Astyanax mexicanus: one gene and its partners. The protein of the gene in region 1 purifies or fractionates together with the protein of each later gene. This does not show direct contact. Links are inferred from orthologs where the notes say so. Each region holds a gene or a part of one and is shown in the gene's direction. Other genes may lie near its edges.

What was found. The genes of interacting proteins can lie anywhere in the genome.
Region 2: the proteins of rpp14 (region 1) and rpp40 purify together in Homo sapiens (co-immunoprecipitation; 3 studies listed by BioGRID and IntAct, with this or other methods). This does not show direct contact. The link is inferred for Astyanax mexicanus from reciprocal best matches to the Homo sapiens genes RPP14 and RPP40.
Region 3: the proteins of rpp14 (region 1) and pop5 purify together in Homo sapiens (co-immunoprecipitation; 3 studies listed by BioGRID and IntAct, with this or other methods). This does not show direct contact. The link is inferred for Astyanax mexicanus from reciprocal best matches to the Homo sapiens genes RPP14 and POP5.

The regions. Positions count from the first base shown.
Region 1 is NC_064431.1:12,208,587-12,216,873, forward strand, and holds rpp14 (ribonuclease P protein subunit p14), read left to right. Parts: upstream 1-4,423; 5' UTR 4,424-4,527; exon of another isoform or gene 4,528-4,622; intron 4,623-6,299; 5' UTR 6,300-6,311; coding exon 6,312-6,388; intron 6,389-6,486; coding exon 6,487-6,571; intron 6,572-6,680; coding exon 6,681-6,757; intron 6,758-7,578; coding exon 7,579-7,657; intron 7,658-8,106; coding exon 8,107-8,163; 3' UTR 8,164-8,218; downstream 8,219-8,287. Other genes in the region: rbck1 (ranBP-type and C3HC4-type zinc finger-containing protein 1), read right to left, coding at 2,222-2,258; hydroxyacyl-thioester dehydratase type 2, mitochondrial-like, read left to right, coding at 8,219-8,287. UniProt on the Homo sapiens protein: Component of ribonuclease P, a ribonucleoprotein complex that generates mature tRNA molecules by cleaving their 5'-ends.
Region 2 is NC_064411.1:30,817,830-30,826,043, forward strand, and holds the start of rpp40 (ribonuclease P protein subunit p40), read left to right. Parts: upstream 1-4,486; 5' UTR 4,487-4,608; coding exon 4,609-4,725; intron 4,726-5,702; coding exon 5,703-5,844; intron 5,845-5,952; coding exon 5,953-6,021; intron 6,022-8,214. Other genes in the region: fitm1l (fat storage-inducing transmembrane protein 1), read right to left, coding at 813-991. UniProt on the Homo sapiens protein: Component of ribonuclease P, a ribonucleoprotein complex that generates mature tRNA molecules by cleaving their 5'-ends. Also a component of the MRP ribonuclease complex, which cleaves pre-rRNA sequences.
Region 3 is NC_064419.1:30,521,353-30,529,414, reverse strand, and holds pop5 (ribonuclease P/MRP protein subunit POP5), read left to right. Parts: upstream 1-4,334; 5' UTR 4,335-4,422; coding exon 4,423-4,442; intron 4,443-4,534; coding exon 4,535-4,677; intron 4,678-5,435; coding exon 5,436-5,585; intron 5,586-6,091; coding exon 6,092-6,175; intron 6,176-7,321; coding exon 7,322-7,443; 3' UTR 7,444-7,550; downstream 7,551-8,062. Other genes in the region: olfml2a (olfactomedin-like protein 2A), read right to left, coding at 2,200-2,274. UniProt on the Homo sapiens protein: Component of ribonuclease P, a protein complex that generates mature tRNA molecules by cleaving their 5'-ends. Also a component of the MRP ribonuclease complex, which cleaves pre-rRNA sequences.

The DNA.
Region 1 (8,287 bases):
TTAATCTGTGTTTTTAAAAACGAATATTCGCTACCAATCAGTGCTGAATATTCTGAGCTATTCAGGCCAGTCCTAGTAAATTAATGATAACAGTGATATCTCAAACTACAGTTCAGTGATAATAAATATGTCGCAAAACTATTCTCCACACTTCACAGCGACTATGCTACTGAGAAAAAAAACTTCTAACTAAGTAAATAGCAGGTGTCAGTTTCACACAATTTAAATACTAATGTTCTTCACCACATGTTTACCCTGTTCATTTGATTGAGCAGTAACTGTAGTATGTCAAATTTGGGGTTGAGTTGAGAGCATTTATACATACATATACTCAAAATTATTGATTTGCTTTTTGTCACACTTCAGACTTGTGTTTGGTAATGGCAAAAGGGAAAAGAAATTCAAGCAAAAGTTTTATAATTCAAAAGGTATCACCTATCTGTAGACTTTGCTTGCTATCCAACTTGATTCTATCAATAATGGAACTGTGACACAAAAGGTCACTGGACAAATAACTTTCAATCATTTTTTTACTTAAAATGTAAAAACTGAACATAAAGCTTTTTGTTTGATGCTGTTTTGCTCGAGTGGAGATTTTGCCTCGAGTGTAGAAAGAGGTGGTTTTGGGGGCGGAGTCAGGATCACCTCCCTCAGCGAATGCTATTGGCTGATATCTCCAGGCTTTGTTACTGTCTGCCTACTACCGGCAGCCTTCAGAAACAAACACAGCAGGAGAGTTAAGAGAGCTATGCTGAAACCCAAACTTTGTATTTATCTAAATAATAATACTAATAATCCGAGTTACACATACAATATATATTATTAGGCTAAGCCGATCCTGGCACTGTTAACACAGCATCAGCGTCCTCCAATCTATGGGGCTGTTAGCCCGGATTCAGGGCCTGAAATGAGCCGATCTCCAGGGCTTGTATCGCGGCTTCAGTGCCTGAACCAAGTCGATCTCCGGGGCTTGTGGAAAAGAGGCTTCAGTACCTGGAACGAGCTGATCTCCGGGGCTTGTATTGTGGCTTCAGTGCCTGAAACGAGCTTGTGTAGCTAGCGGACTCTACAGCGCCCCCTAATTTGATTGGTAAAGAAATCAGCTGTGGTTGTGTAAAAAATGTTCTAATCTTCCCAATTTTTGGTAGAAATGTAGACACTAAGACCCTGCACAAATTTGTTTGTATTAGATCCGCCCAACAGGAAATTTGTTTAAACATTTTTCAAGAACTCATTTAAACTACTCCTAAAGTCTTCATCAGATAATGATGAAAATGCTTGAATTGCCACAGTCAATAAGACCTCAACATTACTTTCACCGGTTTCTCGGTTTGGCCCGGTACGATTTGCGCTGTTGTGTGAGGGCCCTTTATCCCTTCGTGACAGGGGGGCCCCTCAATACTATTATTATTTAGATAAATCCAAAGCTTAGCTTTTAGCATAGCTAGCTAACTCTCCTGCTGTCTATGTTTTTAAAAAAGTGGCAAAACTATGTTGCATCTGGGGGCAAAAAGAGCCGGCTCTTCGTGAGCAAACTCCTCTTGGATTACGAGAAAGAACCGGAATTTGCGTGAGCAAAGCCTTTTTTATTTTACGCTCTATATTTTTTTAAGCGAACTTATTTAGTCAGATAGTTATTTTTTTATAAAGTAAATGCAGTTACAATTTCTAGCATTGTAAGCACTTGCTCAAAAGTTCCAGCACTTTCCAGGCCTGGAAAACAGAACGTTAAAATTCAAGCACCCATACAAACCCTGAATATTTTTATAATGGAAGCCCAATGTCTGTTCTGAATAATGAAAAGTTCGTTTCACTGTAAAATAGTGTAATAGTATTATTATGCTAGTATATAATTACTGTGGCACATTGTCTTAAAGCACCTTTAGGAGCCCAAAGCAGGAAAAAGCATTTTCTATAGTGGCGCTTTAAAAGGACAATATTATCGTTTATCGCAATCATTTCTGAGACAATACATTGCCCTAAAAATGTTGTTATCGTGACAGGCCTAGATCAACGATATGTTATCTAAAAAATATTACAAGTAATTTTGGAGCATTTCTATTGGTCTCCTCATCATATGACATTGGCATTCAATACATTGGTTTCTGCTTTCTTTAATTCAAGTCTGTATTTTCAGTACATCTTAACCTAACTGACGTACAGTATTACCAAACTAAGGACAAGCTTATATTTCCTGATACTGTGAATTCCTCCCCTGTACCTTTTTTCATGTTTCTCTGGTCATAGGGCATCGCCATATCTTGACCTGGATGCAAAAAAAAAAGTTTAAGTTAAAAAAAGATGTTTTATTTATTAGTTATATGTTTTAAAGTAATATTCCAACTTCTTATTTAACTTCAAATGATATATCAGGCTTTTTTAACAATTTCTTTTTTCACATTATTCTGGACTTTCAAAATATCATGAACATATAAATATTTCATGTGTGAAAAGGTAAAAAAAAAAAAAATGGGGCACACAGTCAATGGGCTATGCCTGTGAGGAAAGAACTCCAGTATTTTACTTAGTTCCACTTTGGCTGTACATATACTTCCTTTTTTAATATGTTTGATTTTATTGTGTTGTATTGTTTTAGCACCTGGACTGCTTTAGAGATAAAAAAAAATCTAAAGTAATATTTTATTTTTATTGTAATGTATTGTAATTTGCAGTGGTAGACAGTAGCAGAGTAAAATATATATACTTTACTGTTTTTCATATCTGCAATTTTTACTTTTTACTTTAACTCACAACATTTCAAACTCAAATATTTAGATTTTTACTCCAATACATTATGGAGAAAAAAAAAAGTTTTACTTGCATCCAATGTTTTGTGATATTTTATGGTCACTTTAAAAGTACATCACAATAAAATAAGTCTAATTAATGAGTCTTTCTAAAAAGATTAATAATGTCAACCAAGGGTATTACTGGAGTCTTTTAATATAAAATGACCTGATTCTGATCCAAAAGCGATAAAAGCACATTAAAGCCATTAAATCCGGGTACTTTTACTAATAGTGCTTTTGTGATATTTTATGATAATTTTAACAGCAATCACTGCAATTAGACTAATAAATAAAATCCTATGAAAAGATTAAAAATTGTGAAACAAGTGTATGGCTGGAGTCTTTCTATCTAAAATGAGTTGATTAATCAGATTGAGGGTTCAGTTCTAAAAAAAGAATTTATAAGATATTGGAGCCATAATAAATCATGGTGTTTAGTGCTTTTGTAAGCACATTTTAAGGAAAATAACATGTGTGTACTTTTACTTTAATGTAGGCATAGAGAGGTCTTTTCCTTTTACTAGAGTAACGTCTGCAGTACTTTAGCAGTTGTTTGAACATATAGCTAGCTTTCTACTTCTGTTTGAGTCATTTCTGGGCCAAAACAACTCTTTGATTTTGATGTGGTTTAGCTGGTTTAATCTGCTGTGTCTTCCTCGGACTGACCCTGAAAGCTCAGCACTGCTCATCTAGTTAATACCCTGTAAAAAAAAACAGCATTTACAGCAGAATATCAGCAAATAAACCACCAGAACAAAGCACGTACCTTCGGAGGAACCCCTCTGACTTTCAGTTCGACCATTAAAGTGTGTGAAACCGGTGGAAGCGGGTGTTTTTGGCGTAGTTTACAGCAGCGCTGAACGAAAAGTGAAAGAAAGAAGAGTTGAGGAGGAAGTGAAGTCGAGATGTGGAGGCTCCCGCTGATCCCAGCCTTCAGGCCTCAGAGTCCAGGCTAAGATAACTTAGCACAGCTAGCCTAGCCCGGGTCAGCTAGTTAACTAATCAGCGTCGTACATAAAAACAGTGGGAAAAAATACTAATGCACCAGATGATTTATAGAATAAGTCAACAAAAACAAAATTGTACAGTTCACCTGGGTTCCAGCACCCACGGGTATTTAGGGGAATGAGGAAGCAGATGAGTTTGCAAAAGAAGCACTGAAATCAGAGCAAGTAGAAGTTAAAGGTTTTACTGAGCAAATCAGAATTAAAAAAAGTAATAAAAGACGGTGTTCATAAAATCTGGCAAAACAAATGGGATACGGAGGAGAACAGCAGGAATTTATATAGTATACAACAAGAGGTAAAAGGAAAATCCATTCACTCACGACAGGAGGAAACCTGATCAACCAGCCTAAGAATAGGGCTTACAGCACTAAATAGTGGTTTACACATTAAAGGAAAACATGACACCGGAATATGTTCATACTGTAATGAAACTGAAACCGTAATTTACGTACTGCTTACATGTAGGCAGTACTCTAACGGAGAGAACGTCTTGAGACGGTAACAAAGAACTCAATTGAAAAAACTTATTAGGTCAAGGTGGTACAGAGCATACTGTATATATTTTTGTAATCCCAATGTAATCAAACATCAGACCAGTAGATGGCGGTAATGCACTAAGATTGCAAGCTGCCAAAAATCAACCACGAAGAAGAAATCCGCTCTTGAAAACATTAGAAGCTACAGGAGTCACATGGCGATAAGGACGTGCTGCGTGAGACTGTCTTTAGTCGGTAAATAGCTGTATTTAGTATTGTAATATTCGTACATTTAAAAGTGCACTACGGTTAGTTTTGAATGAGTCTCTTCAGTGGAGTTTCCAAAGGATGTAAGTTTTACTGGATAGCAACATTAGCCTAGCTAACTAACTTAGATATGTTCTTACTTAACCTACACCTGTTATATAGTTAGCTGTTAGTTATCTAGCTAGCCAGATATAACTCAATTACTCTAGCTATCTGTTTCAAGTCATAATAACCTATCGAATGTATATACTGATGATAGATAGGGGTTGGGTTTGTTGGTTTAATTTGGAGAACTGGCCCTGTCCGTTATTAGATGCACTTGATTGCGTCTACATATGGTTTATTATTAGAGGTGGCTAACCCGGATCCAGAAAGTAAAAATCCATCCCTGGGTTTCATACTTTTTAAACTTTTAAACTTTTACTTTCTGGACCCGGGTTTACCACCTTTACTTTTTATAATGCAGTGTTTGAGTCAGTGGACTTAAAGTCTCTCTAATTGATGCTCTGTTCAAATATTTGTAATATTGTATATGGTAAGCATTTAATAAAAGTGTACAAATCATAACAGAAAATACGTTAAGATTCTGAGTATATGCTGAGTAGGGCTGTGCAAAAATCAGAATTTCAGAATTCAATTTAATTCAGTGAATGATTAAATGAATGAATGAATGAATGAATGAATCTACCTACCCACCCATCCATTTCTCAGTGCCTCATTTTAAATATCCGTGCTCTCAGAATTCTACCAGTGAAGTGTGGAGCTACTTTGAGCTTCTTAAGAGTGTAAAATTAACTATTTCTTTACATGGGCAGCACTAAGCCCTTATAACTAGCATTGTAAGCCTGTAGAAAGCATACATTCTCTTAATGTTGAATACTTTCAAAATTAAGATATTGCTAAATTAGTCACATACAACAATGTTACAATTTATTAAAGTAATTTAAAGGGTAATGCTATTGCATCTTATGGTCAACAGTTCCTCAAATAGCCTTAATGTTTGGACAATGGTTAAAGACAATGGTTAAAAAAAGGAAAAAAACAATATTCTGGGAAATTAAGTGCTGTCCTATCATTTTCCACAGTTTGAAAGTTGGTACAGTTTTAATAATTTGTGTTATAGAGGGTTTTTATTGTTTTGTGCTCATACCATAATATCTGTGTGAAATTAATATACACCTTAATTTTGCATTATACATTAATTTGAATTTCGTGTAATTCTAATTCTACATCCTGCAGTTCGAATTTGAAGTAGCTGGTTCCTGTTTGCAATCTCAATTCCAATTGAATAATTTAATTTGAATTTGGGTGTCATTCTTCATTTTATTTTTTAATATTGTACAACCCTGGTGTTGAGTTAACATGTTGTGGGACAAAAAAAAAAAATAATCTTAAATGTCTTTATGCCATTTTTCATTTTTATTATTGATTAAGCAAATACACAATTTATACGTAGTATAGGTGTGCAATAAGACAATAAGTTTTGACTACTGCCATTGCTTAAATTCAGAACAACTGCAACTGTTAAATTACAAAGAGAGTAATTAGTCCTGTATTTAATTGACTTAGAGTACAGCAGATTTAAATAAATTCAGAATATTGTGTATTGTGAACAAATGTCTTTCCGTATTAGGAAATATATTTTTTTTGTTTTGTTTTTTTCAACCATTTTTTACCATATCGTCATATTTTACCATTCAGAATTCAGTTTTAACACAAAATTATTTTTCGCTCTCAATGTTTGTTTCCTGTTCTAACAGCATTCAGATATTATGGAGAAGAAACCTACACCTTATGAGCGTGTTGTGTGCAAAAACACCTCTCTGTATCATTATATGAAGATCAACTTGTAAGTAAACTCCTTTCTAAAAAAAAAAAGAAAAAAAAAATATATATATATATACTATGAATAATAGACAGCCCTATTTTTTTTGTATGCATAAACAGAGTTTTTGACAGTAGAAACAAAAGTCTGAGTGCAGAACAGTTCAAGCAGTTGATCATCACTGGACTGAAAGACCTGTATGGGGAGGTAGGGATAAAATACTGACCTATGTTATGAGACCTCCACATTATAATTAAGTTAGTGTCGGAGTTGTGTAGATTGTGGTTGTGTAGAAATATGTTGTAATGTGTTACAGGTTGGAGCTGCGTTCCCTTTTGACGTGCTGACGTTCAACCAGACTGAGCTGTCTGCCATTCTTCGTGTGTACCACAGGTATTTAATCCATGCAAAAGCTTAGTTTTGCTTTTAATAAACACTTATTTACCAATTTGTCATTCGTTCTTTATTACAGCGCACCACGTTGACTTTATCTCCCCTCAAACATAAAAGTATATTCTAGTAATTTAATTGACACCACTAAAATAAATATAATTGCATTACAAAAACTTGCATTTTAAGAAAACAAGTGTGATTAATCACAGTTAATTACAGAATAGTGTTGTGATTAATCATGTTAAATTTTTAATAAATTGACACCACTAGTCAAAACGCTTAAAATTATAAAGGTGTCTGAGTGCTGGGGAGCATAGTGCAGAACAGTGTTCACACAGAGATTCACTATTAGAGCTGTAAAGAGTTACCGACTCATACTGACACATGGATGGTTATGGGTTTAAGGCAATGTGTCATAAAGGCTAGTGTAAGTGTACCATCAATTTTTTTACCATATATAGTAGAAATAATGCATGTTCTCAAACCTGAACAGACTGTTATGACTTTGAGTCAGTTTCCAATAAACAGATTAATCCTAGGTTTTGACTGTAGTATCAGTGGTGATTAGGCATTGAAAAGCCTATTAAGTGTAGGATTAAGCTCTGAATCTGGGTCCCGATCCCAAAGTTAAATGGACCACATTTTTTGGTTGTTTTCTAGTGCAACCCTGGTCCTAGAGATGTATCTCTGTCTCTCTCTCTCTTAAAACCCCTAACACAGTTAAGGCAATGAATTTGTGAATTACAGTATAATTAATAAGTATAATTAAGTATGTTTCTAAATGTTGTGATTGTCTTTCTTTTTTATTCTCATTTTAATAGCAGTTTGGTGAAACTGTGGAGTGCAATTACCTTGATTGGATCGTATGAAAGTGTATCGTGTGCATTTAGAGTTACTCAGGTAAGTTTTCTATTATTGAACATAATACATTTGTTCTTACCTAGAAAAAATAAAGATGAATAAAATAATCATGTGTTATCAACAATTGTTCCTGATTATTTGTTGAGATTAATTAATAATACATTTCTTAAATAAAAATAATATTTTTTTTGAAACCATTAAAACCGTCAAACCATTAAATCATAAAAAATATATTTTTTCATAAGCATTGCAGTGCACTTGCTCATCAGCAGAGAGCGCTACTGAGTGTTTTCTCTAATCATGCAGCTGCCAGACATGACTTGACACTTTTTTCTTTTTTCATGCTGACATATTGTAAACAACTGTGAAGGTCTGCTTAATGACCCGACGGCATAGTGAAATTTGGGTTATTTTTCTTTTATAGAAACCAGTGCAAAAAAACTCTGGAACATTTGCATGGTTTAATTTTTTTTCTGTCTTTTTTTAAGGTTTCTCCATTTTTATTAGCTCTATCTGGAAACAGTCGTGAGATGGAAGTCTTCTAGCTGAGTTCTAAAATGATTCTGTGAAGATCATCTGCTCCAGTATTAACCAGCCGAAATGAGTTTTGCAATTAAAGGCAACCTGTTGGGTAAGACTCTCTGGCGAGCAGCTGGCATGGCTTTCTGT
Region 2 (8,214 bases), on another chromosome or scaffold:
AGTTACAGTGAGAGTTGGAGTGTGCACTGTTAGAGATGAGGTGAAGGTGAGCTCAGGTATGAAGTGTTTAGTATCCGGTATGAAACTGATGTGTAAGGCAGTAAAACTGTATGCCGTTAGAGTTGAAGTGAAGGTGAGCCCAGGTATGAGGTGTTTAGTATTCGGTACAAGTTATTTAGTATACGATATGAGTTGTTGAATATCCAGTATGAAACTGATGTGTAAGGCAATTAGAGTGAAGGTTGGAGAGTTAGTGTGCTGTTAGAGTTAAGGTGAAGGTGAGCTCAGGTATGAAGTGTTCAGTATCTGCTATGAGGTGTTCAGTATCCGGTATGAAACTTATGTGTTAGAGTTAGAGTAGGAGTTGGAGAGTTGTAGTGTGTGCTGTTAAGAGTTGAGTTGAAGGTGAGCTTAGGTACGAGGTGTTCAGTATCCGGTATGAGGTGTTTAGTATCCAGTATGAAACTGATGTGTAAGGTAGTTAGAGTGAAAGTTTGAGAGTTAGAGAGTGTGCTGTTAAAGTTGAGGTGAAGGTAAAGCTCAGGTAAAAGGTGTTAAGTATCCGGTATGAAACTGATGTGAATTAGAGTGAGAGTTGGAGAGTTAGAGTGTGTGCTGTTAGAGGTGAAGGTGAAGGTGAGCTCAGGTATAAGGTGTTCAGAATGCGGTACGAGGTGTTCAGTATCCGGTATTAATCTGATGTGTTAGGCAGTTAGAGTGAGAGTTGGAGAGTCGGAGCATGTGCTTTTAGAGTTGAGATGTAAAGGTAAAGGTAAAGCTCAGGTATGGGTTATAAAGTGTGTGTTACTTACCTATAAAGAAAATGACTCCTCTTGGCGAAAACACTGTACTGGGAAACCCAAAAGTTCAGCAGGGGTCCAAAGACCACCATGGCCGACAGCAGCAGGTGAAAATGCCGCCGGAATAAGGCATTTCCCAGCAGTCCTGCCGCAAGGTCAGTCACAACCACGAGGAAAGTGTTCAGGAACATTTGTGCAAATGTGAACCAACTCCAGCTGATCGGCTCAACTCAACGGATTCCCTCCAGAGTCCCAACTCAATCTGTCCTAATCAGTGTTCTTCCACATCATTCCTCTCTGGGGCCGGTTCTCTATTAACCTTTAGTAGATCTCCATATTCAGCTCAGCTCTTCCAGAGGGTCTGGATTCTTTAGTTCCAACAGCAAGTGTGCTCCTGTAGTGTGCTACTGTATTTATACTGTAGTTTTCCCCTTCATCCAATAAATATTCTGCCATTAACAAGTCATGATTCCCTCGTTTTTGTGGTCTGACTGTAAGCATGTACAGTATCTCCTGGTATTTGCTGAACTGCCCAGTTGCTCCAACTTACAGCCTTGAGACCAACACCCCTCCCACATTTCAACATGACAGAAAAAGATCCATCCCCATGGTGTAGTCCCACCCCCCCCCATGCCCTCACATTTACACTCACACATGTAATCTAATGCAATGATCCTCTGTATGTTATTTTAATTGAGTAGTACTAACACTTAAATAAATATGATTTAAGAATACAGCCTAGTGTTAAATCTTGATGTTTCTAAAGTGTGGACTTTTCTAAAAAATAATAGAGGTGCTTGTAAGTTTTCTGAATCAATATTTCTGCATACTTTTCCTAAAAGTAGACAATGATATATGTAAAAAATGAAATGAAATGAAAAATATAAGACTTTTTTTTAATGAATGATCTATTTGTTATCATTCTTCATCTGTTAATAAAGAACGATCTAATGTTACATATCTGTGGGCATTTTCAGTCACTGATAAAGGCCTTTTGGAACAATGTTTTGTGAAGGGATAAGACCAAAATTTAGTGTTATGTTTGAAGAAAGTAACATCTTTATCCTATCTGTGAAACATGGTGGTGATAGATTCATGGATTGGTCCTTTTTTGCTATATCTGGGCCTGCTGGATGGCTTGCAATCACGATAGAACAATGGTTTCTGAATTATATCAGCACATTCTGAGGGATAATATCTAGACATTTGTCTTTGAGCTAAATCTTGAGAGAACGTGGGTCATGCAGCAAGACAATGACCCTAATCATGCAAGTTGTTTTACCAAAGAATGGTTAATTAAACTATATTGACCTTAATCCAATATAAATTTCCTGGAAGGAGCTGAAGTAGCTGGTCATGTGAGAAAACACACCAATGGGCTACAATTCCTACAACACTTACAAAAAAAAACTTTAGTTGTTTTCAGTTTTTAGATACTGAAAACAATGGTTTATATACTCTCGCCATTCCAAGATGATTTAGGTCAAATTCATGCAGAAATACGGGAAATTTTCCAAACTTTTAAGCACATCATGCTATTGTTGTGTTGTTGGCAGATGCATTATCAATTGGTATTTCATTGGTGAAGAGCAGAATGTGTTTAAAAATATACAGCACCAGCAAACTATGGATGTACCTGTAAATGTGTTCTCTGTTAAAGGGCTAAAGCAGACCTTAAATCCACCATGGACCTCTTGGTCCAAGCATTTGGAACTGCAACATGACCCAAAAAAGCTGTTATTTCAGACGAAATGGAGCCTTACTAAGTGCTAAGCACTAAACTCTGTAAGGTGTCCAAGCTTTTGCATAAGACTGACATTTGGGAAGGGTTAAGCGTGGTGACCAGCACGAAGCGCTGTGTCTCTATCTCTGCTCTTTCTATTTTTAGCTTCAGCTGTTAGGGTCAGCACCTGGGAGTATTTATCGCCGCCTGTCCCGCTATCCGTCTGTGTCTCACAGCTCTCTCACAAATAAAGCCCACCCTTTCAGCCTACAGTAGAGGTCTGCACTCCCGCGGGAGTCCCGCGGGACCCGCGGGACCCGTCAGAATATGTTGCGGCGCGGGACAAAACTGAATTGTTATTGGCGGGAGCGGTAATTTAATCAATACAGGCCATGCGGGAGCGGGACCACATTAACATGTGGTCCCGCTCCCGCAAATTGATAAATAGTTAAGAAAATTATAATAATCACGCTATGATTCCCATGCAAGCAACAAAAAAACACAAGAAAAATCTCTCGGAGGATGGACACACACACACACATTTTCAGCATCTCCAGCAGGCGTGTGCAGAGGAGGGGGGGGGGGGGGGAGGGGGGTGTGTAATTTAAAGGACGACATTTACTATACTGGTGCAAAATAATAATAATAATAATAATAATAATAACAATAATAATAATAACAATAACAAAAACATTGTTATTATTATTATTGTTATTATTATTATTATTATTAATAATAATAATACAAATATTAATTAAACTAATTGAATTTAATTTTTTATATTTTTACATTTATTATTTTATATAATATAGATCCACTTCTAATCCACTTCTAGGATTCTTGATGCACCTGATGGCATGTGTTTGGACTGCGAACTGAATTGCTGTTTTAATAAATACATATGTAAATTTGAAGCACTAAATGTAATTAATTCAATTCATATTAGGACTGCGGGACGGGAGCGGCGGGAATGTGTATGTGGCGGGCGGGAGCGGGATTAAAAGAAGTGATTTTTTTGCGGGAGCGGGCGGGAGCGGGACAAAAAGACGCGGGAGCGGGCGGGAGCGGGTTTAAAAAAACAGTCCCGCGCAGACCTCTAGCCTACAGTCTGTTTAGCCCCGCCCATTCAGCCTACAGCCACTTCAGCCCCACCCAATAGTTTTACCTATTCAGCCTACAGCAGTGTAGCCCATCCAAATATATAATTTTTCTAAACGTTAAAAATAGACCTAATAAATGCAATAAAAAACACATTGCAATCAGCAATCCAATTATGAAGAAATAGAAATATAATATACATTACTATGCACTATACATTAATTAAATATAATTAACTAATAATATATTTAATTAGAAAGTAATATCATTTAATCATTTATTTAAGATTAATGGCAGATATTTGTTTACAACCGTGTCACTTCAGTTAAACACAGATATACAGCTGAACTGATGAATATATCAGCAGTATTGGGATGGTTATAACACATATTGTGTTTTTTCTTCCTTTTTTTGGGTCGATCTTTTTTAAGACTTGAAGAGGAAGTTGGGTAAGGAAATTCCCCTCAAAGACCAATATATATTGTATATTTTTGATGAGCCTTCGTTTGAGCGCAAGGAAAAATGTATAGTAAATTTAATTATAATTTTAGGTAAATTTGATATTCACAAAAATAAATTTGCTTTAAAAATACCATAATTCCAGATTTTTGTCTATTCAGACCTAAAATTTATTTACACTTACTGACTCATTTTATTAAATTAAAAAGTAGGAAATCACAATTTTCTTTTCTCTGTTTTTTTTTGTTTGTTTAGGTTTGTTTGTTTGTGTTTTTGTTTTGAGGTGCTTGCGATGTTGCTTGTATATGATGTGTTTTTCACTTATTATTGAGATGGTTATAAGTATACAGAGTTAGTTGTATACAAGGAGACGCACGTGCTCTCCGGGTCAGTAGGGGGCGGCAGGGGCGCGAGCGGGTCAAAAACACGGTTCAGCCGGCATGGTGAGCAGTGCTGTACTGTCAGTGTGTCTCCCCCCTGCTTTATTATAAATTAGTTTTTAATAATAACACAATTAAATAGAGTAAGATGAGCCCGGAGCTGGAGCAGTGCCCGCGGAGTCTGTTAGTGTGTGAAAAAGGAAACTTCAAAAATGAGAAATCCCGCCATGAATCCCAGGCGCTGAAACACAGCTTTAACTGCAGGGTAAGATACTGTTCCACCTTAAAAACAGCTGCAGCTACAGCGCTTCTCAGCACAGTTTAAGGTGGAGCGGAGAGCCTCGGTTATAAACAGTACATTATTACTACTAAATCAGAAAGAAAGAGAGACTGCAGTGGAAGTGAGGCTGGTGTGTGTGGAGTTATTACAGTCTGTAGTCTGTATATCAGAGTAAAATTTACCAGACAATAAATTAATTAAAATTAATAAACTTGAAATATTGAGTGGCATACATTCTAAATTTACATTTTAACAATGTTTTTATGGGCTTAGAACTTGTATTGTAAAAGTTTAAAAATACCTTTGAAAATATCTCGTATATTTGATATCCGTAAAATATCTCCAAATGTATTTTGGATATAGGTTATAGATTTGGGCTAACTCGTATTCTATTTTTCATCTTCTATCATCTCGTCTTATTTTTTTGTCTATTTACTCCAGTGTTATTTTTTAATGCATCCAAACTTATATTTACTAAGAAAGTTATCTTTAACATTATAGTTTATATTAATGTCCCCAGCTTAGATCCAGTCATCTAAAGTTGGTCCTTCTTGCTGTAACCAGTTTGTTGTCAGTTGTTTTTTTAACTGGATGCTAAAAGAACAGCCAAATACATATTAGTTCAAATTTGTTTCATGTCAGGGTGGACATAGCCTAAATATAGCATCTTAAAATTAAAAAGGGATCTCCCTTCTAAATATGCTTTACAATAACTCAAGTTTATCAAAAGTCAGATAAACTTCATATTAAAATATAAAATGCAGATTTAAATAGCTTTTAAGCTCTATAGGAATTGTGTTGATTCAGCTTGTCAGTTCACTGTTTAAATACATGAGTTCCCTGAATTATTTTAGGCCATTCTCTTGTAGCTGTTAAATGTGAATGTAAACTGTAAAAATAAGGGGTGTTTATATATGTAATGTATATAATGATAAATATAATATATAGTTTTTTTCATGCAGATTTCCTTATTGATACCTGAGTGTGGAAGACTGCCTGTGATGCTGGAGAAAGTACTTAGTAATTTCAGCTCATATTTCCATGTCCAAGACTTTCCAGTTTCTACATTCCTGGAAGAGAAATGGCTGGATGCAGTGAAGAAAGGTAGGAGTGAGGAGGAATTCGAGAGAGTGGAGGAGTTGAGAATAAGCGGCTCAATTCAGTGCTTGTGGTGTGATGGAGTCCTTTATTCACTGTTTGTTTATCCTTCAGGAGGTTTCTATGCACTGTCTTCCAAAACCAGAATTGATGAGGACAATGTTGTTGCTGTTTTGCCCAGCGGTAAGTACCATAAGTGCATACATGCAGTAATGTGCAAAAAGTGTGTGTGTGTCCTCAGTTTTCATCATTTTTGCAATTTTTTAACATCTACTTTGTTTGGTCCAGACCTTCAGACTTTTCAGGTGTTTGGTCTGAGCTAAAATAGTAGTAATAGTGAAAACTGCCACAAACCACAGCCTGTTCCAGAGGATTTAAAAAGGTGTCTTGGTCTGGATACACTGAACCCTGGTTTGGTTCAATTACAGTGTAAAACATTGGTGTAGATAGTTTGACTCTTGGACCAATTACAAGAAGTTAAGGCACACTATTGTCAATTTAACAACAGAAAAAGAAAAAAAAACAGAACCAGTGCTGTGCCATAATCTGAGAAACCTTCACTTGTAACGCCTGTCACATAGCAGTATAGGTGGAGAGCTTTACAGACCCTCCTGTATCAAAGCAACCCTAAACTGTGAAATCTCACTTCACCATACTTGTCAGAATCTCAAGAGCTATGAATGAGTTCAGGCTGCAGCTGAGTTTATCAATGCGCTTCAACTCTGTAAAAAGAACACATTTCTGCAACACAAGCCTTCTAATATTATTAGAAGACACACAATAATCCAAATACTTATGAGGTCTGTTATCTCGTTTTTAACCACCTACCATATTCTTCACACAGTAAGGCACATTGTATTATAAGGCACACTATTTTTGGAACTTTCAGTCTACAATCTGATACACTCACCACTAATTGGCAAAAGAGTAAGCGGTTAACGGCTAATGCTAATGCTGCTCCAGTCTCGGTGGTGGAGAACTAAACTGAAACTCCTGTACTTCAGCAGAGTGGTGTTACTGCTCCTTACAACCTGACTGATAAAATTCATACATAAGGCGCACTGCCATAAAAGTCACATGAATTCAGATCTGGCTGTTCAAACACAGCCTTAAATCAGATATATTACTATACTATCACATGATACAATCAAATTACAGAACACAGTGGAGCCGCAAAAATATGAATCCTCCTGTTATTCAGCAGAAAACCTGATGGTTTCCTTCTTCAACATGTGTTTTGATGTTATTTTGTAGGAGGAACTGGGCTGGAAAATCAGAATTTTTGAGTGGTATTGCATTTCTGTGTGGACAAAGATATTTTTAAAAATCCAGACAAAAAAACACTAGTGGAGGGTGCCCCCTGCTGGCCGAACACAGGTGTTCCAGGCGTTGTGCTGAATTCTGCCTCCTACCAATGGATGTGTGTGTCATGCAGCAGAATGATACCTTTATTTCTGTTTATAATCAAGGTTTAGTCTACAGTTCTAGCACGTACAGGAATCACCAGATTAACCTGCTGCCCATACAGGACCTAGGCAAGACTGGTTCTTCTTCTTCTTCTATTGTTTAATGGGTGACAATATCTATAGTCTCTTAGTCTCTTTCTGATGGTAGATACAGTATCTTCCAAACCATCTAAAAAAAGTGTTCACACTGGAACAAACTGAAAAGTCAGAAGGTCTGCACCGAAAAAGCTAGGTGAAAGCTGCTTAAACGAGCAAATTTAAATGTCATGTTTTTTTTTTTTATAGAACCCTTAAAGGTCTCATTTTATCGTTTTTTTTTTTTCCTCAGTAATTTTAAGATGTGCTGTGGTCTCTTTAAAAAAAGCTGTGGTCTCTAGTATGAATGAATGCCATGTGAGCTGTTTTTTGTGAATAAAAAGTGCTCCAGTGATTCTGTATAATGCTACTTTAGTCCAGTGGAGGAGTGGAGGGAGGAGTTGGCTGAGCCGCAGTAAAATCCTGGGGGGGATTTTTAATTTAACCACTGTAAACAGAACTGTTTTAAACACACACCTACCTATCTCGAATGTACTTGGCTGGTGTTGTTTTATAGACAAATTCTAACCATTTGTTCCTTAGCTCTGAATTACTGGGTAAAGACCATAACTCTGATGTGTTATTTGCACAAATAACACAGGACTGAATGGCCATGCTGTTCCTAACGCTGTTAGCTCATGTCTGACAAGACGGTGGTGCTGTCTGGCCTCAGCTCTGCCTGTGGGCGGTGTGGGACCCTAAATTAGGATATTAGGGATCAATATATGTTATATTACTCATATATTAGTACATTTGGCCTTATATGAACGAGTTCATTGAGTTCAGTTAAAACTCTGTCTGCTCTTCCTCAAGTAAGGCCCAGTCTGCACTGGGT
Region 3 (8,062 bases), on another chromosome or scaffold:
AGATTTAATCAGTTTAATGTGTTACATTATATACTCTCCATCTCTCAGTATTGGACACCCCTTCTAGTAGATGCATTTAGCTACTCTAAGTTGTGCATATGTGCAAATTCACACACAAACAGCTTGTCTAGTCCCTATCAAGAAATATTGTAAACACAATACAATTCTCCCTTGAACAGATAAATATGAACCTGTTGGCACTATGCATAAAGCCAGACATGTGGACCAGGAGAACTGTGCTCTATGGAATGATAAAGCTCCATCCAATACCTCTTGAAAAGGTTGGGGAGTTGATGGGGAGATGAGGTGTGGTGGTGATCATCCAACATGCTGGCGCTCTTGTGGCTGAATGCAATCAAATTCTTACAGCAGTGCTCCTAAATGTAATTTGAAAACTTCCCTTGACAATAGAGACAGTCACTCCAACCAAAGCAGACTAAAAAAAAATTGATAATAACCAAACTGTGACGGCTGGGCAGCAGAGTAAGAACATCTCCAAAACTCCAAGCAGGTCTGGAATTAAATTTGTGTGGAGATGTCAGCATGTAAGCCTAAGGGTCCGTACTATAGCTTAAAAATTTGTTTCAGGCAGGTTACTGAGTAATGAGTCTAAAAATTAATCACTGACTGTTAAACTTACGGTCTGACGGGTTATGCCCCTCAGCGGGGGCTCATTAAAACAGGTGTACTTTGTCAACGAGAACGAAAAAAGCATTGATTTAGTGCCTCCACTATATATCAACAGCATGAAAATCCTAATCGACCCTTTCGGAATTCAGTAATGATAAACAACGACAGACAGTTTAACATTTCCCAGTCCCGTGTGAGACTGTTTCAAAATCCCAAATCTCAAATTCTTCACAGTTCACACACACTCCCACAGTGTTCTTTCCAAAAAAGAAAATAAAAGAAAAATAAAACACACACTTACACACTCACACCATTGCAGCCATAACTCACTCTCTGAGCGAACAACACACAATCTACACTTGATGCCCCGGTTGAGCACAACACTGGTTGGAGTGCCATTTTCTCATATTTACAAATTAACTCTTTCAAGCCTAAAGGCCTGTTTGTTGACACGTGCTTTAAACAAACTGCATATAAGTTTCATAACAGATTCTAAAAAAATACTAGGTATTGAATAATAAATATGTACAATTTCCATGTAGCTAATTATTAGTAAATATTCAATATTTAGTAGATAATAATTAATGAATACTTATGGGATACCTGGCAGTTGCTGAATAGGTACTATTCACTTACTAATTAGTAGTTACTCAATAATTAGCAAAAACTGACTAATTAGTTCTTGGTAAATAATTAATTTTAGCTACTGAAAAATAAATACTTACTGAATAAGTAGTAGGTGCCAATTAAGAAAGTACTAAATATTTACTCCTTATTCTGTATCTATTACTTGATAAATAGTAGAGACTGACTAATGAGTACTTTCTCAACAATTCTTACTTACTGAAAAACAACTACATTACAAATAATGAATAGGTACTTAATAAGAAGGTACTGAACTTACATCATTTTATATAACTACTATTCAACAATTAGTATATAATGAGTGTTTATTAAATAAATTATTTTTTCTTTGCTAAGTAATTACTTACAACTGAATAACTGGCAGCTACTGAATAAAATGTACTGCATAATTATTACATGTTACATCATTGCTAAGAATTACTACTTATTGGATACTTAGTAGGTATCAAAAAAGAAGGTATTATTATTGCATAACTGCTACTCAATAATTACCTAATTGTTAGTGAATAATTACTAATAAATTATCAACTTGTATGTACTGAATAAAAGTACTGTATAATTATTACTTATTATTACTAAATTATTGAATTATTGAAAGTATTAAAAAAGTAAATGCTGCATAATTAATACTTAATGGAATTATTGGTATTTACTCAATAATTAGTAGGTACTAAATTAGAAGCTGCTAATTAATCAGTACTTACTGATTAGGTAAGTAGGTGTGGTCTTATACGTATGGTATTAAAGCCCAAAAGCAAGATTTCAGTGGATTAAATAAACTTGATGATGCACGTGCACAGTTGCAGTATTTAAATGCAATGCTGAGGATTGCATTTTAACATATTTTAGAGAAGCATATCACAAAACACACACACACACACACAGTGAGAAAACAGCAGTTAATGTGCTGCTGCATCTTCTTACCTTACTAATAGCGATGGCATGCTCGATGAGCGCGAGCGCGCACACGCACCTCATGATATTCCTGTATATCCACATTCTGCCCCCAGATGAGTGATTTTGTGCGTGTGTGAGCTGCAGTCTGCAGTCCGGCGACTCTCACGCTCACACTCTCACGCTGCCATGACAGAAGTGCGCCTATGTGCGCGCACTTGTGAGTGTGCGCGTGTGTACAGTGCGCGATCTGCACCCTGCGGGACCAACAACCCACGCCCATTTGATGTTTCTTCCACAGGACACGCCCACTGCACGATACCTTGCCTCCCCCTCAATACTGTCTTCTGAGGGACCACTTAAGACCTTAGCCTACAAGACACGCCCACCATACACTATTAGGTATGATGCTAATTCCGAGAGCATGCATCATGTGTTTACTTTCCAGTCAGAAAATCCACTGAGTACAAGTACCACTAACAACTACAAGACCACCAAATAACCCCCTCAGATAACATGGCAGTTCAAGTATTCGAGTTTGTGAAAGACGCTCCAGCTCCACTTTCATTTCAGATCTGAAAGCATCCACTAAACAGATGATGGGCTGAGTAGCTCCTAACACTGAGAAAAGCGAACTGCAAACTGCTAAAAATCTCAGAATAATATACAGAAAGGATCTACCATGAAAAAATGCCTGGCCAAAAAAAAAAATGTCGCCACCAAAAAAGGTCACACACTCTAATATTTCATTGGACCACCTTTAGTTTTGATTACAGCAAGCATTCACTGTAGCATTGTTTCGATAAGCTTGTGCAATGTCACAAGATTTATTTCAATCCAGTGTTGCATTTTTTTTTTTCTTGCAGCATTGATAGTAGAGTCTGGTCACTGTGCAAAGCCTTCTCCAGCACATCCCAAAGATTCTCAATGGGGTTAAGGTCGGGACTCTGTGGTGGCCAATCCATGAGTGAAAATGATGATCTCATGCTCCCTGAACCACCCTTTTACAATTCCAGCCTGATGAATCCTGGAATTGTCATCTTGAAATATGGCCATTCCATCAGGGAAGAAAAAATCCATTGATGGAATAACCTGGTTATACAGTATATTCAGGTAGTCAGCTGACCTCATTCTTTCAGCACATACTGTTGCTGAACCTAGACCTGACCAACTGCAACAACCCCAGATCATTTGTTTAGATAAATCCAGGTGGCAACTTTATCTTGGTCAGGCAGTGTATATATCCTTTGCTTAAACACGGGTAAATTAATGAAAAACTCTGGCAAAACATGAGAAGGTTCAAAGAATTACTAACCGTTTTAAAAATTGGATTGATTAAATCTAGATTTTGTGACACTTCATAAATGTAAACTGATAATATCATATTTGCAAAAAGAAAACAGTTTTTTACACATCAAGATCCGACCACATAAAAATGAATCTGAGGTTTCTGCAGGATCTGTACAAGACACAGCCAATATGCATTTTTAGATTCTGTGCTAATGTTTGCTCATTATGGGTGTACATTTCAGTCAAAATGTGCACTAATTACAAATACATGGGGAAATTAATAACACATTAACAAGACATTTAAATAATTTCGAATTAATAAAATAAGTAGTACATATTAATCACATATTATTATTTTTTTACTGTAGGTTCAGTACCACAAATGAACCTGTGCAAAAAAACTTCCTAAAAACTATAGTAAACCAGTGTTAGGAAGCCTTTAGAGGTTCATATATCTGGTTCCTGTGTTTTATACCAAACCGTTTTATATGTATGTATATATTTATAATTATACACAGTACAGTACATTTTCAGTTTAGTAGCATATTCTTGGACAGGACATTTTTCATCTAACGAACAAATTACATTAAAATTCATTTCAATAATTATTTAGTCTGGTCCAAAAAGTTCCATTTTATTTTATTTTTGCTCTTATGGCGCCATCTCTCGGAATCTCCTGAAAATGACACCCCATATAAATAAACAACAGCGTCAAATAAGGACTTTTATTTTATATAAAATATGAACCAAGAACTTTAGCTAAATATTATACTTTTAGAGACCTAGAAATGAGTAAAAATCAAGCTGAGCGTTGAACCTTAAACGATAAACGTGTCTGAACGGTGTAATGTGGACCGCGTAAGCACCGCCTACTTTGTGCAACATCGAATTGTGATTGGTGCAAAAGCCCACACGTGAAAGCGGTAAAGCGTTGGTCCACGTGGTTCCACAGAGAGCAGGAAGATGGTGCGACTTAAGGCGAGGTAAAAAAAACGTTTTTATGAAAACATGTTAGTTATTTCAGGATGTTTTTAGGCTTTAAAATGACTGTAAATTGCCTGGTGTGTGTTTGCAGATATCTGTTATGTGAGGTGTGCATGTCCGAGAGGAGCATGCTGCGGCTGCTGGAGGAGAAGGATATTTTCCAGGCAGTAAAAACAGCAGTGACCACAGCTCATGGCCAGTATGGGTTAGCGTTGTTTAACATAGGTTCTGCAGGTCAGTACTGCATCACCATACTTCTCCAGTTCCTCTTCATCTTTCTTCACTATTTTATTGCGTTTAATAAGTTTTATAATTATGAACACCTACTCAGCTCATTACGAAGAGTGTATTATTTGATTAAATACCTGTACTTGGCACGAGTTTGTATTTAAATGGCTTTTAAAGTTTTAAAAAATCTGGCACTTTAGGTGCATTTTAACGCATATTAAAATATTGACACTATAAGTTAAATATTGTAATATGTAATATGTGTACTATCTCTAACATGTCTAGTTAAAAAGTTTAAGAGAGCGTTACAGAATTTTACATATGTGTCTAAGATAAAATCCTTTATTAATCCCGCGACGGAAATGTACAATGTTACAGCAGCACAGAGGACCAAGCAAAGGAAGTAGCATGAATATACAAGCAATATATATAAAATAAAAATAATAAAATTCATAATAGTAATAACAATAAATAGATTATAAAATATTACTCATTATGCATATTGCACATGTTGGTTGTAAACATACAAACAATGATCCACAATTTAAAAAATTACACAATGTAAGGTAGGACATTGGATGTAGGGTGTGTGTTTGTGCATTTGCACCTTTGTGTCATAAGAAATTGTTTTGTGTAAAAGCACACCTTTAAGCAATACTGAGCTACTGTTATAAATGACCTGTATTTAGGGGTGCCTTTTTTGTGTTCAGAATTTAAAAGCATATTTAACAACATGTATGGATTCTGCTGTTGTCTCATTTCAGTGAGGTACGTAAATGCCTACACTGGGGTGGTCATGCTACGTTTCCGGAAGGCCCACTATCAGCTTCTCTGGTCTGCCCTTCCCTTTATTACAAGTATCTGGAAGCAAGGCCAGAGGGTGCCGTGCTTTTTTAATTGCATTCATGTTGGAGGTAAGTAGTCACCTGTTTCCAGTTGGTTTCACTTTGCACCAAACTATACAAATGGTTTGTTTATTCGTCACAAGTTTGACAAAACTCACAGTATAGATACCTTCAGTTACTTTTGTTTGTCATTGTAAGTGCCAAAAGACCCACCAGTAATAGCAGACCTGTTGATTTAGTATGTCATCTTAAAATATATTTGATCTAAATTATATCTAAATGACTAATTTTAACAAAAAAACTTTGTTAAAAGTATAATTGTAAATTAATATACTACTAAAGCTTAAACACAAAAAGCAATAAAGAAAACATAACAAAATGTCATGATTGAAAATGCTGGTACACTCTTAAAAATAGATGCTATTGAAGAACCAAGGTTCCTCATGGAAACAAATAGGGTTATTCCTGGGCATCAGACAACGAACCCTTTGTATCATATGTTAATGGTTTGATTGCAATCAGATTTTTGTATTGATTTTAATCAAACCATTCTTATTTGCTCTCCAATTCCACAGGTACCATCAGAACATGCCAGAAATTTCTCATTAGATACAGCAGACAGCAGCTATTTCGAATGCTACCACATTGCAAAACAGAAGGTAAAGTTATCTCTTCAATTATTATATTAAGGATTATTCAGATTGCTTTGACAAATCATTTATAAGACTACTATTTGGGTGTTTGGTCATTCTCAGCACTGCAGTGATTGTAGTTGCATGGTGGTAGCGTGTTTGTGTGTGTGTTGTGGTCAGCCGCAGCAGTGTTGCTAGAGTTTTTAAAGACTGTGTTCACACACTGTCCACTGCCCACATGGCACTGCTGGATGACAATTCTCAGTCTAGCAGTGACACAAGATACGCCACCACCATGTCAGTGTCACTCCAGTACTGAGAATGACTTACCACCCAAATAATACTGCAGGGTCCTAACCATTTAAGATTAGGGTGAAAGGGAGGGTAATAAAGTATGCACAAAAATAGATGGACGACAGTCTGTATTTATAGACCTTAAAACTACTCCAATTTGCTTGATTAGTATTTCAGTGAAATGTTGCACAATAAAGTATAACTATCAGTATGACCTGTAACTACTAAAACCACTGAGTTTTAGTTATTAGGCACTTCTGCTTGTTTGTAATGTCTTTGTTTATTAAACGAGGAACAGAATAATGTTGTGGGCATTCTGTGGTAAATTGACACCACTTTTTATGTTAAAAAGTACACAAGTAAAAAAGAGATTTGCTGCAATCGGACAATTTAAGTTGCAAATTGCAATGTTCTATTCATTGCTATGAAATGAGTGCCCCAACTTTCTTTTTTTTAATTATTATTATTATTATTATTTTGCTATTGCTAAATGTAGTTGCAGCAGTTTGTCTATATGAAGCTGCCATTTGCTATTTATTTTCTTTATCAAAATACTGTTAAAAAACTAAACTAAAATAAAGTGTAATGAAAAACAATTAAACAATAAAAACTAAATACAGGAAAAAAATATACAAACTGTTTCATAGTGACCTACATGTTTCTATATTTTTATATGGTTTAAAAGCTCAGTTATTCTGTCAGTGGATCTGGTTGTTCCAGTTTTATAGGCCAATTTTATAATTAAATTAATATGTAATTTTTTTTAACGTTAATTTTCTCCAACATCCGAGTTACAGCACAAATACAGATATATACTCTATGTACTAATAAAAAAGAAAAATTAAAAGTTTTTTTATATCTATCTGTCCTTTGATGCAGCTGAAAAACAGCAGGTGAGAAAAGCAGTTTTGAGTTGTTCTCTAAACCAACTCAGACAAGACGATGATGACGACGACAATGATGACTATGATGACGACAATGATGATGATGATGGAAAATGAACTGAAGAAAAGACCCAGCTACCATAGTTGCCATTCAACTTTCTGTTCAAAAGAGAAGGATTATTTGAGTTTATTGCATTACAAAATAAATTTTATATATAATTCAGCATCAGGTCTGATGTGTGTTATAGTATGATTGTATGAGCAGTCCAGATTTAGTGTAGATTTTAAAGTCGTCTTGTCCTTTGAGCTTAAACCAGCCGGGTACAATACTTTATGATTGCTTAATAATTTCAAAGTTGAGGTTTTGGAAATTTTGTGCTAGTGTGTTCTGTGTAGCTCATATGGCAAAAGAAAATGATAATGCTATTAATTCACACATTTCAGTAGTTTAGCAAAAATGCCAAAGATGTTAGTAAATAAAATCTAATACAATGTGTAAATATGCAAAGAACTTTAAAATAAAATACAAGTGTGAAATAAGAACGAAGCACAAAAACAGAAAAAAAAAATAGTACAAAGTGCAATAAGACAAAGTCTCAGTCCACTGTTATGCTGACCTTACACCTAATGATTTTCAAGCGATTTCACAGTCACAGACAAATTTCCAGTGTTCGGATAAAATCACGAGTCTTGCTAGAGTCAAACGTTATTTCAAACGTTCAGTGTAAGGTGGTTA